2 linked regions of the Macaca fascicularis genome follow. The main gene of each other region encodes a partner of the protein of the gene in region 2 in a complex. Links are inferred from orthologs where the notes say so. Each region holds a gene or a part of one and is shown on either strand. Other genes may lie near its edges.

Region 1 (3,647 bases), on a different chromosome or scaffold from region 2:
TGCCCTCAAGGACCTCACAAACTGGCTGAAGGAACAAGACACACAGTCACAGATAAAACATGACCCAAACAAAATCCCTCCCTTTTGCAAACCTTGTTCTTCCTTTTGCATTTCTGATGTTAGCCAAAGGCATTCTAACAGCCCAGGCAAGAAATCTTCAGCATATTTAATTTGTAAGATTAAGCATAAGAATATTTTACATTGTTAACATGAAAAACACAATGAAAGCCTATATAATGGACAGGCGCGGTGGCTCACGCCCGCAATCCCAGCACTTTGGAGGTGGGCAGATAACGAGGTCAAGAGATCAAGACCATCCTGGCAAACACGGTGAAACCCTGTCTCCACTAAAAATGCAAAAATTAGCTGGGCGTGGTGGCACACACCTGGAGTCCCAGCTACTTGAGAGGCTGAGGCAGGAGAATTGCTTGAACCAAGGCGGAGGTTGCAGTGAGCAGAGATTGTGCCGCTGCACTCCAGCCTGGTGACAGAACAAGACTCTGTCTCCAAAAAAAAAAAAAAAAAAAAAAAAGGAAAGCATAAAAGAAAATAAAAGTGCATAAAATGCCAAAACACTTGTTAAATTATCTTATCATGTATATATTCAGTGATTTCAAATATTGCTCATATGCCGTGTCAACATAGTCTGTTTCTTAAGCAGTAAGCTCTGCTTTTCCAGAGCTCTGGGAGGTACAAGGCCTTCCCAAACTGGAGACAGAGGCAAAGTGGAGAGTGCACCCTCAGGCAGGCTCTGTATTGTTTTACTTTCTATCAGGGCTGCCAAGTCAAAATATTTTTCTATATGGCCCACCAATCAGAGATTGATTTTGGTTAACCAGCTCATCCCAAAACACAAATACTCCTTAGAAAGGTACTTTGTCACCCCCAAGGGAAAGGACAGGTAAAAAGAAAAACTACTATATGTACATAGCTATTATATTCTCTTTTCATGATGATTATGACAGGGGAGAAAACCTTTAGAACTACACCCCAGAGAAGCTGAAGACCAATGAACATCATGAGAAATGAAGATAAATAGTGACGTGAACAGTCCTAAACATTACCATTTTTCATATGGAACATTCTTTTGAGGAGCCAATCACACTTTTAGTTTTGCTGTATCATAGTCCTAAAATACTATTCTATATTATGTATCCAACTGATAATTTCCAGACCCTTCTCTAATAATTCAGCTAACTGAAACATGTACATACACTGCATTGACAATTACACTTTGCCCTTTGATACAAATGCAGAATAATAAACCAGGCTCTTGCTCAGTTCTTACAAGCAGTCTGTCATTAATTTTTAAAAATTCATTGCCTTATCATATAAAACTATGTATGAATAAACACCAAAAAGGACACAAAAAAGACAACAATTTGATTTGTTAGATCATGAAACTTGAGGTGATTTGTTTTTCTTTCAGATTTCTGGCATACTGTCTAGATTAAAAACAAAACATAACAAAGCACTTTTCCTTCCATTCCCTAGGAACTAACACAAACGTATAAAAACAAAGAATTCACACTAAACGCATTTATGGAATCAACAGAAGACTGAACTTAGGTTACAGTACATCAAACATTAAGAAAAAGAGACCTGTTGGCATAATGTGTTACATGCTAGAATACAGTTAGGCTATAGGAGGAAGGAAGCAAAATCTGAGACACCAAATAGAGTTTGAAGCTCCTCAAATGCATAAGGAATTCCAAATTTCACTGAGCTGAGGGAAGAGTTGGCACTGTTTCTAAAACTAGATCATTCTGCAGTCTCCGTTAAGACAATAGGTCTAAGTCCTAATGTCACACCTTTAAAGGGAGACAGCGAAGTCTACCCTGCTGCCTCAATAGGCTGTGAAGCTTCACAAAACCGTGAGGACTGTGCCACTATTTCCACAATGTCCAGCTGTCACTGGCTGACCAGCATCTTAACCATTTCTGTCTTTGAAGTTTGTAGCAGACTTTACTTTTTCTCTGAAAATAAATCTGATTTTACAAGTAAGGTGTAGCAACAGGATCCTAGGAGGTAGCTGAGGAGTTCAGTGAAGGGACTGTTTGCAAAGGTGTGGACAAGATTAAGGGGTCCAAAAGGGGATGGGGCAGCACCCTAGGATGAGGCATTATCAACCTCCAGCCTGAAGAGGCAAGAGGAGGGGCAGCTACTGGAAACAAGAGAAAGCAGTTGGACAGGAGGCATGGTCCCTGACAGAGGGGCACAGCCAATGTAAAGTGGGCACAGGCAAGGAAGAAAGCTGGGGGAATAACTACTACAACTTCCGGCCTTCTGGCAGGGCCTCCCATTCATCTGACCTGGTAGAAGTGGGAGGGCAAGGGAGCCCACTCAGGAAGGCTACTTGGCTGTGGCACAGTCAAGGGCAGATCTGCCTGGTCAACAGGGTGAAACAGGGTCTCTACTAAAAATACAAAAATTAGCTGGGTGTGGTGGCACAGGCCTGTAGTCCCAGCTACTTGAGAGGCTGAGGCAGGAGAATTGCTTGAAGCCTGGAGGCACAGGTTGCAGTGAGCCGACATTGCACCATTGCACTCCAGCCTGGCAACAGAGCGAGACTCAGTCTCAAAAAAAAAAAAAACAGTAGATCGAGAGACAAAGTAAGGAGATCAGGATGGACGCAGTGGCTCACGCCTGTAATCCCATTACTTTGGGAGGCTGAAGGGGTGGATCACCTGAGGTCAGAGTTCAATATCAGCCTGACTAACATGGCGAAACCCCACCTCTACTAAAAATATGAAAATTAGCCAGGCGTGGTGGCTGGCACCTGTAATCCCAGCTACTCAGGAGGCTGAGGTAGGAGAATCGCTGGAACCCGGGAGGTGGAGGTACCTGGGCAACCGAGTGAGACTCTATCTCAAAAAAAAAAAAAAAAAAAAAAAAAGGGAAGATCAGCACCCAAAGCAAATAGGTACTTGGAGATAGTTACTAACGGGAAAAAAAGTCAACAGGGAGCACTTCTCAGTCAACTTTGCAAGCTCTTCTTTATAGGTAACTGGTAAATGATACTTCTGAGTGATACTTTAGCCAGAAAATCTGGGGTCCAATTTAACATTTCAGTGAGATCTTTTGTGATTTAACTTGTCCTCACCCTCTTTCCTGCCTAGGGCATGATCACTAAATGGCACAGTTCTACAAAGCCACATGAAAGAGGACTCATCATACCTCCCTGAAAAAGACATCTGCAGGAGTCAGGTTGGATGGGATTTCATACTCCCTCTTGTTCAAAGCAATCAATATGGCCGTGTTGACGAGATCAGAAAGCCGGGAGTGGTGGTTCTTGAGAACAATGGTGGCTGACAGCTTTTCGGCATGCTCACAGAGCAACAATCGAGTGGCCATCGGTGTCCCTCTAACTGGAAAACTGCCTAGACGTCCAAATAAGCCAACCTTGCAAAAAGGCAAACATATATTCTTAGAAAGCAATATGGTAACATGCAAAATACCATAGCTGTATTTTCCCCAGAAGCACCCTGGGCAGTCACTGGCCCCAGCTCTCCCCCAGCAAGTCCCTCCAGCTGTCTCTTGTTTTAGCTGTTTCTAACACACAGACACACTTCAGCCAGGCCAGTAACACCCACAAGGAAGTGCAGACATTCCTGTTCTAAGAGCAGGGTCACTCCAGGGCTTCTGTC
Region 2 (4,340 bases):
TGCGTGCCTGTGGTCCCAGCAACCTCAGGTACTAGGGAGGCTGAGGTAGAAGGATTGCTAGAGCCCAGGAGGTCAAGGCTGCAGTGAGCCATGACTGTGCCACTGCACTTGAGCTGGGACAAAAGAGCAAGACCCTGTCTCAAAAAAAAAAAAAAAAAAAAAAAGAAGGAAGGAAACATAATTTAAAAAATCAAGTCCAAAAAAAAGCAAGCAAGAAGAAGAAGAAGAAGAAAAGCTCAGCACTGTCACAAGGAATATATGACAAGAAAAGCTGGCAATTTCTATATACCTGTGAAATCCAAATTGTCACTTGCCTTAAGGTATCAATGGTGTGAGCCCAAAAGTCTGTCAAAACCTCTTCACTTTCCCCAGATCTTCCATGGCACCTCTGCTAAACTCAAGGCTTCAGTTAACATGCTGACTATTGTGGAACCATACATCGCATAGAGTACCTGAACCTGAAATCAATAAATGAACTGATCTACAAATTGGTTATGGCAAAACCAATAAACAAATTACCTTAACAGATAACTCTTTGATTGATAGATTTCTTGATAAATATGGCATCATCTGACTGGAGAATCTGATTCATGAGATCTATGCTGTTGAAAAACTCTTCAAGTTCCTGTGATCCTTCAAATTATCTTCTCCACGAGGGAGAATGACTACCTATTCTGTATTACTAAAAAGTACAAATGCCAGCAACAGAAAAGACCATATCAACAGGCTTATTAAACGGATAAACTGAAGCATCTAACGTTATTTTTGTAATCTGGTCAGTTAATAGCCAGTCGCTACTTTCAAACTGGAAAAAACAAAAACAGAAACAAAAATGTGACTGACTCCTTCAAGACCAAAATATACCACTTTTTGCCTAGACGGCACTTTGAAATAGAGGGCAATACCATCATGTTTTACGCTTGCCTTTCTACTTTTTAATACAGGTGAACTGTTTCTCCTTAATAGAAAAGAATACCAAGTAAAGAACAAATAGCAGTTATGGAAAACAGTTTCAAAAACTGCAGGGGGCTAGAGAACAAAGGACTGAGTGTAGGGAGAGAGATAAGAGATTCCCGAGGTGTGGGGCAGAGCCCACGCATCTGAATTCCAAGAACAGGCGCTTTCTGACAGAGAATACCAGGAAATGACTTCACGTTTTTCCAGACTATCAACATGCTTCATTTTTCCCAGTAGGAGAACCCAGGGCCTGTTCCACGCCCACAGACGTTGGTCAGGCAAAGCGGCCGCAAGGCGTCTGGGCTAAACGCAACCAGGTCCCGCCCCCGGCCCTGTCTGGTCCAGCCAGGCACACATTGGCAAGCTTTTGCGCCTGCGCCCACCGGGCCGGCACCTGTAGGCTGAAGTCGCCCATGCGCTAGATGGGAACGTCGTTTCTTCTCCCCTACCCCTTTTCTGTGGGGCTATTTTAGGGAGAGACTGCTTCCGGGTCGAAGGGCTTGCTTCCGGAGAGCGGGAAGGCTAAAACGCGGTAGCTAAACTGGAGCCGACATTTATTCTGTGTGGAAAAGGCTTTAGCCATGGACAGGTCAGTTCTGAGGATGGCAGCTGAACCCAAAGCCTTGCCCCTCTCGCCTGTTGGCGAAACGAAATAGGTGAAACTAGACTCCCAGAAGAAGCCAAGGAGGTCCCGGGTGCTTCCCCTAAGACTCCTTCCCCATGCCGGGAAATTTGGCTACAAATGGGGAAAGGCCGCTTGGCCTGCGTCGGGTGGGGTACGGATCATAATGGTCCCCTACATTCCCACTACGTTCTGCGATCTATTCGGCGCTTTGGGGCAGCAACACTGATCGCTCCTGGGGTGGGCGGGGTAGGTAGCCCGGCGTTCGAAATGCTAAGTGACCAGCCTGTGATCACAAAGCCAGTCAGTGAAGATACTGGGATCTCAGCTCAGACTTTCTGATTACGTGCTAGCATCAGATACTGAGTTCCCTCTGTGATCTGGGTACTGTGCTAGCCGCCTGCAACAAAGATCAGTTATTCAAGATCCTTCACCTCGGGGAATTAGTTGTGTAGTGGAGACAACCAAGCGGTATAAAGTGATAAGTGTTTGGGGGCGATTAAGTCTCCCTGTCACTCTATCAGAAAGACCTCTCAAAGAAGGTAACTTTCTAGCTGGTCTTTGCATAATAATAGTACATTATTCGTACTCCAAACATTGAGTACCTACTATATGACTGCCATTGTTGGCTTTGAATATATATTATCAGTTTATTTAATCTTCAGAACAAGAGCAATCCTATGAGGATAGGTACTGTTATCCCTTTTTCATATATAATACTGAGACTAAAAGAGGTTAAGGAATTTGCTGAAAGTTAGGAAGCTAATAAATACAAGAACCAAATTGCCAACCTGCCTCTGTGTGTCTCCAGCCTACCTGAGGCTCTTTGAGGAGTAATTAGTTGTTGACCAGGTGCCCAAGGGGGCAAATGTAGGTCTTTGTAAAAGAAACATATTCAAAGGTGCTAGTATATGAAAAACAAAAGTACATGTAGCTCAGTGGTCACATGCAGTATATGTTTAGAGTGATGTTTGTGGCTGAATAGAAGACTGAACGCCTAAACTGGGGTCACATTGTAAATATCATTTTAGGAAATTTGCACTTCTATAAACCAGAGAGAGCTATCTGTAGGTTTTTTGTTTGTTTTGTTTTTTAATTTTAATTATTAAACATTTAAAATTTTTTCTATGGGGTTGTTTCCCATACTTTCCTGCTGAAGGAATATCTGAAGGTTTTAAGTGGAGGAAAAGCATATTAGATTCTTGTCTTAAACACAGGCCTTTTAGTCCACACAATTTAGTTTCTAGACCTTTGAGTGAAACTGACAGAGTGTTGTGATGGGACAGGAGACCTCTTTGGTTGAAATAACTTGAAGGGTCATTTTGCTACAATTTACCAGAATTTTTTTACTTACTCTTCTATCTCACAAGCTCTGTTTGTTGTTGTGGTTGTATCTCACAAGCTCTGGTTGTTGTTGTTGTCTGGTGGTGGTTGTTGTCTGGTTGTTGTTGTTTGTTTTTTAATAGTACCCATGGTTTAAAGCATTTTGGATTCTGCAGAAAATCTTTGAAGAGAGAATTCCTGCAATTAGGTAACTTCTCAATCCAACCAGGGAAATAAGATTCACTTTTATGAAGCAATTACCTAAAACAGTGTTATAATATAGATTCCAAGTGTTGAAATAATTCTTTAGGAGAAAATAACATAGTGAGTACTAGAAAGTCAGAGAAATCTTTGTGCAGGTAACATTTGAGTAAGACTTTGAAGAATAAGCAGGATTTGGAGCCACGAGTGCATTCTCAGCAAAAGATCCAAGACTTGGCTACTGGAATGACCTATATCTTAACTTACTCAGGGTCCTTTACTCCAGCTGTGATGATAAAATTCTTTACAAATGCTATATTCTTGTTTCACTTATATAAGCTTGATTATACTACTTTAGGAGTGGCTTTGGAGATATATCATCCCCTGTAATCCGGGAGGCAGAGGTGACACGGACTGCACGGAAACAGAGTGCTCAAAAAAGAGTTTTAAGTATCCTTTGCGATTTAAGCATCATTATAAAAATTGTAACATGTTTGGAATCAGTGTTATAGAATTTTCTTTTTATAAGAGTATTAAATGTTAGCTATAATAAAATCCTGTAGAAATTTTTTTCACTCCACAGAGCTGTCATTAGGTAAATATAATGCAAAAATTTAATAAGATTATATTTCCTTAAAAATAAAGATATTTCTTACTGCTGACTATCATATTGTGGTTAGCTTCTGCTGAGATTTTTATTATTTGAAAACTGACTAAAAACATTTAGTTCAGTGTGTAGCTATCTAAGACTGACGTCTGAGAATTTAAATGGCAGAAGGAATGGGTTATTTACCCTTTGCATTGAAAAATGGTAGCCGTAAAATACCTTGTTCTTGAAAAATGTATTCACATAATTTGTATAGTAAAAAGATGGTTAATTCTCATTTTAATCTTTTCTACATGGAAAACTTTTCTTAACTCATTGTACAGTTCAGGCATCTCAAGATGAAAGTTTCGGTAATACTACACCAAGAAACCAGGTTATCCCTCGAACTCCTAGCTCATTTCGACAGCCTTGTAAGACTTTTTTGCTTTTAAAGCATTTAATAATAATGATAATTATAATAGCAACTAACATTTATTGTAACATGATAAGTATAGTATTTGGTTACAATATCAATAAACACTAATAATAATGATTGCAGTTATTATTTGTTTGAACTCTTGCCATGTACAAGGTACTGTACTTTCCATAAACACACAGTAACTATGACATAGGTATCGTTAGCTCTATTTT

Evidence for each region. The genes of interacting proteins can lie anywhere in the genome.
Region 1: the proteins of NUP107 (region 2) and NUP133 are in contact, whole or in part, in a crystal structure (PDB 3CQG), measured with the Homo sapiens proteins. The link is inferred for Macaca fascicularis from reciprocal best matches to the Homo sapiens genes NUP107 and NUP133. Residues at the interface, in NP_065134.1 of Homo sapiens: Leu875, Gln876, Ala878, Asp879, Val881, Ser882, Ser883, Glu884, Tyr889, Lys894, Leu897, Arg898, Leu900, Leu901, Gln902, Arg905, Ser908, Leu909, Leu912, Asp917, Pro918, Leu919, Tyr921; in NP_060700.2 of Homo sapiens: Trp937, Leu938, Ile941, Asn942, Gln944, Leu946, Tyr963, Ala965, Lys966, Lys968, Thr969, Leu970, Gly972, Leu973, Lys975, Leu976, Ala977, Leu979, Ala980, Ser981, Asp982, Ile992, Glu999.

Annotation. Positions count from the first base shown.
Region 1 is NC_088375.1:19,636,352-19,639,998, reverse strand, and holds part of NUP133 (nuclear pore complex protein Nup133), read right to left. Parts: intron 3,403-3,647; coding exon 3,178-3,402; intron 1-3,177. UniProt on the Homo sapiens protein: Involved in poly(A)+ RNA transport. Involved in nephrogenesis.
Region 2 is NC_088385.1:75,447,843-75,452,182, forward strand, and holds the start of NUP107 (nuclear pore complex protein Nup107), read left to right. Parts: upstream 1-1,450; 5' UTR 1,451-1,538; coding exon 1,539-1,546; intron 1,547-3,461; coding exon 3,462-3,553; intron 3,554-4,033; coding exon 4,034-4,120; intron 4,121-4,340. UniProt on the Homo sapiens protein: Plays a role in the nuclear pore complex (NPC) assembly and/or maintenance. Required for the assembly of peripheral proteins into the NPC. May anchor NUP62 to the NPC. Involved in nephrogenesis.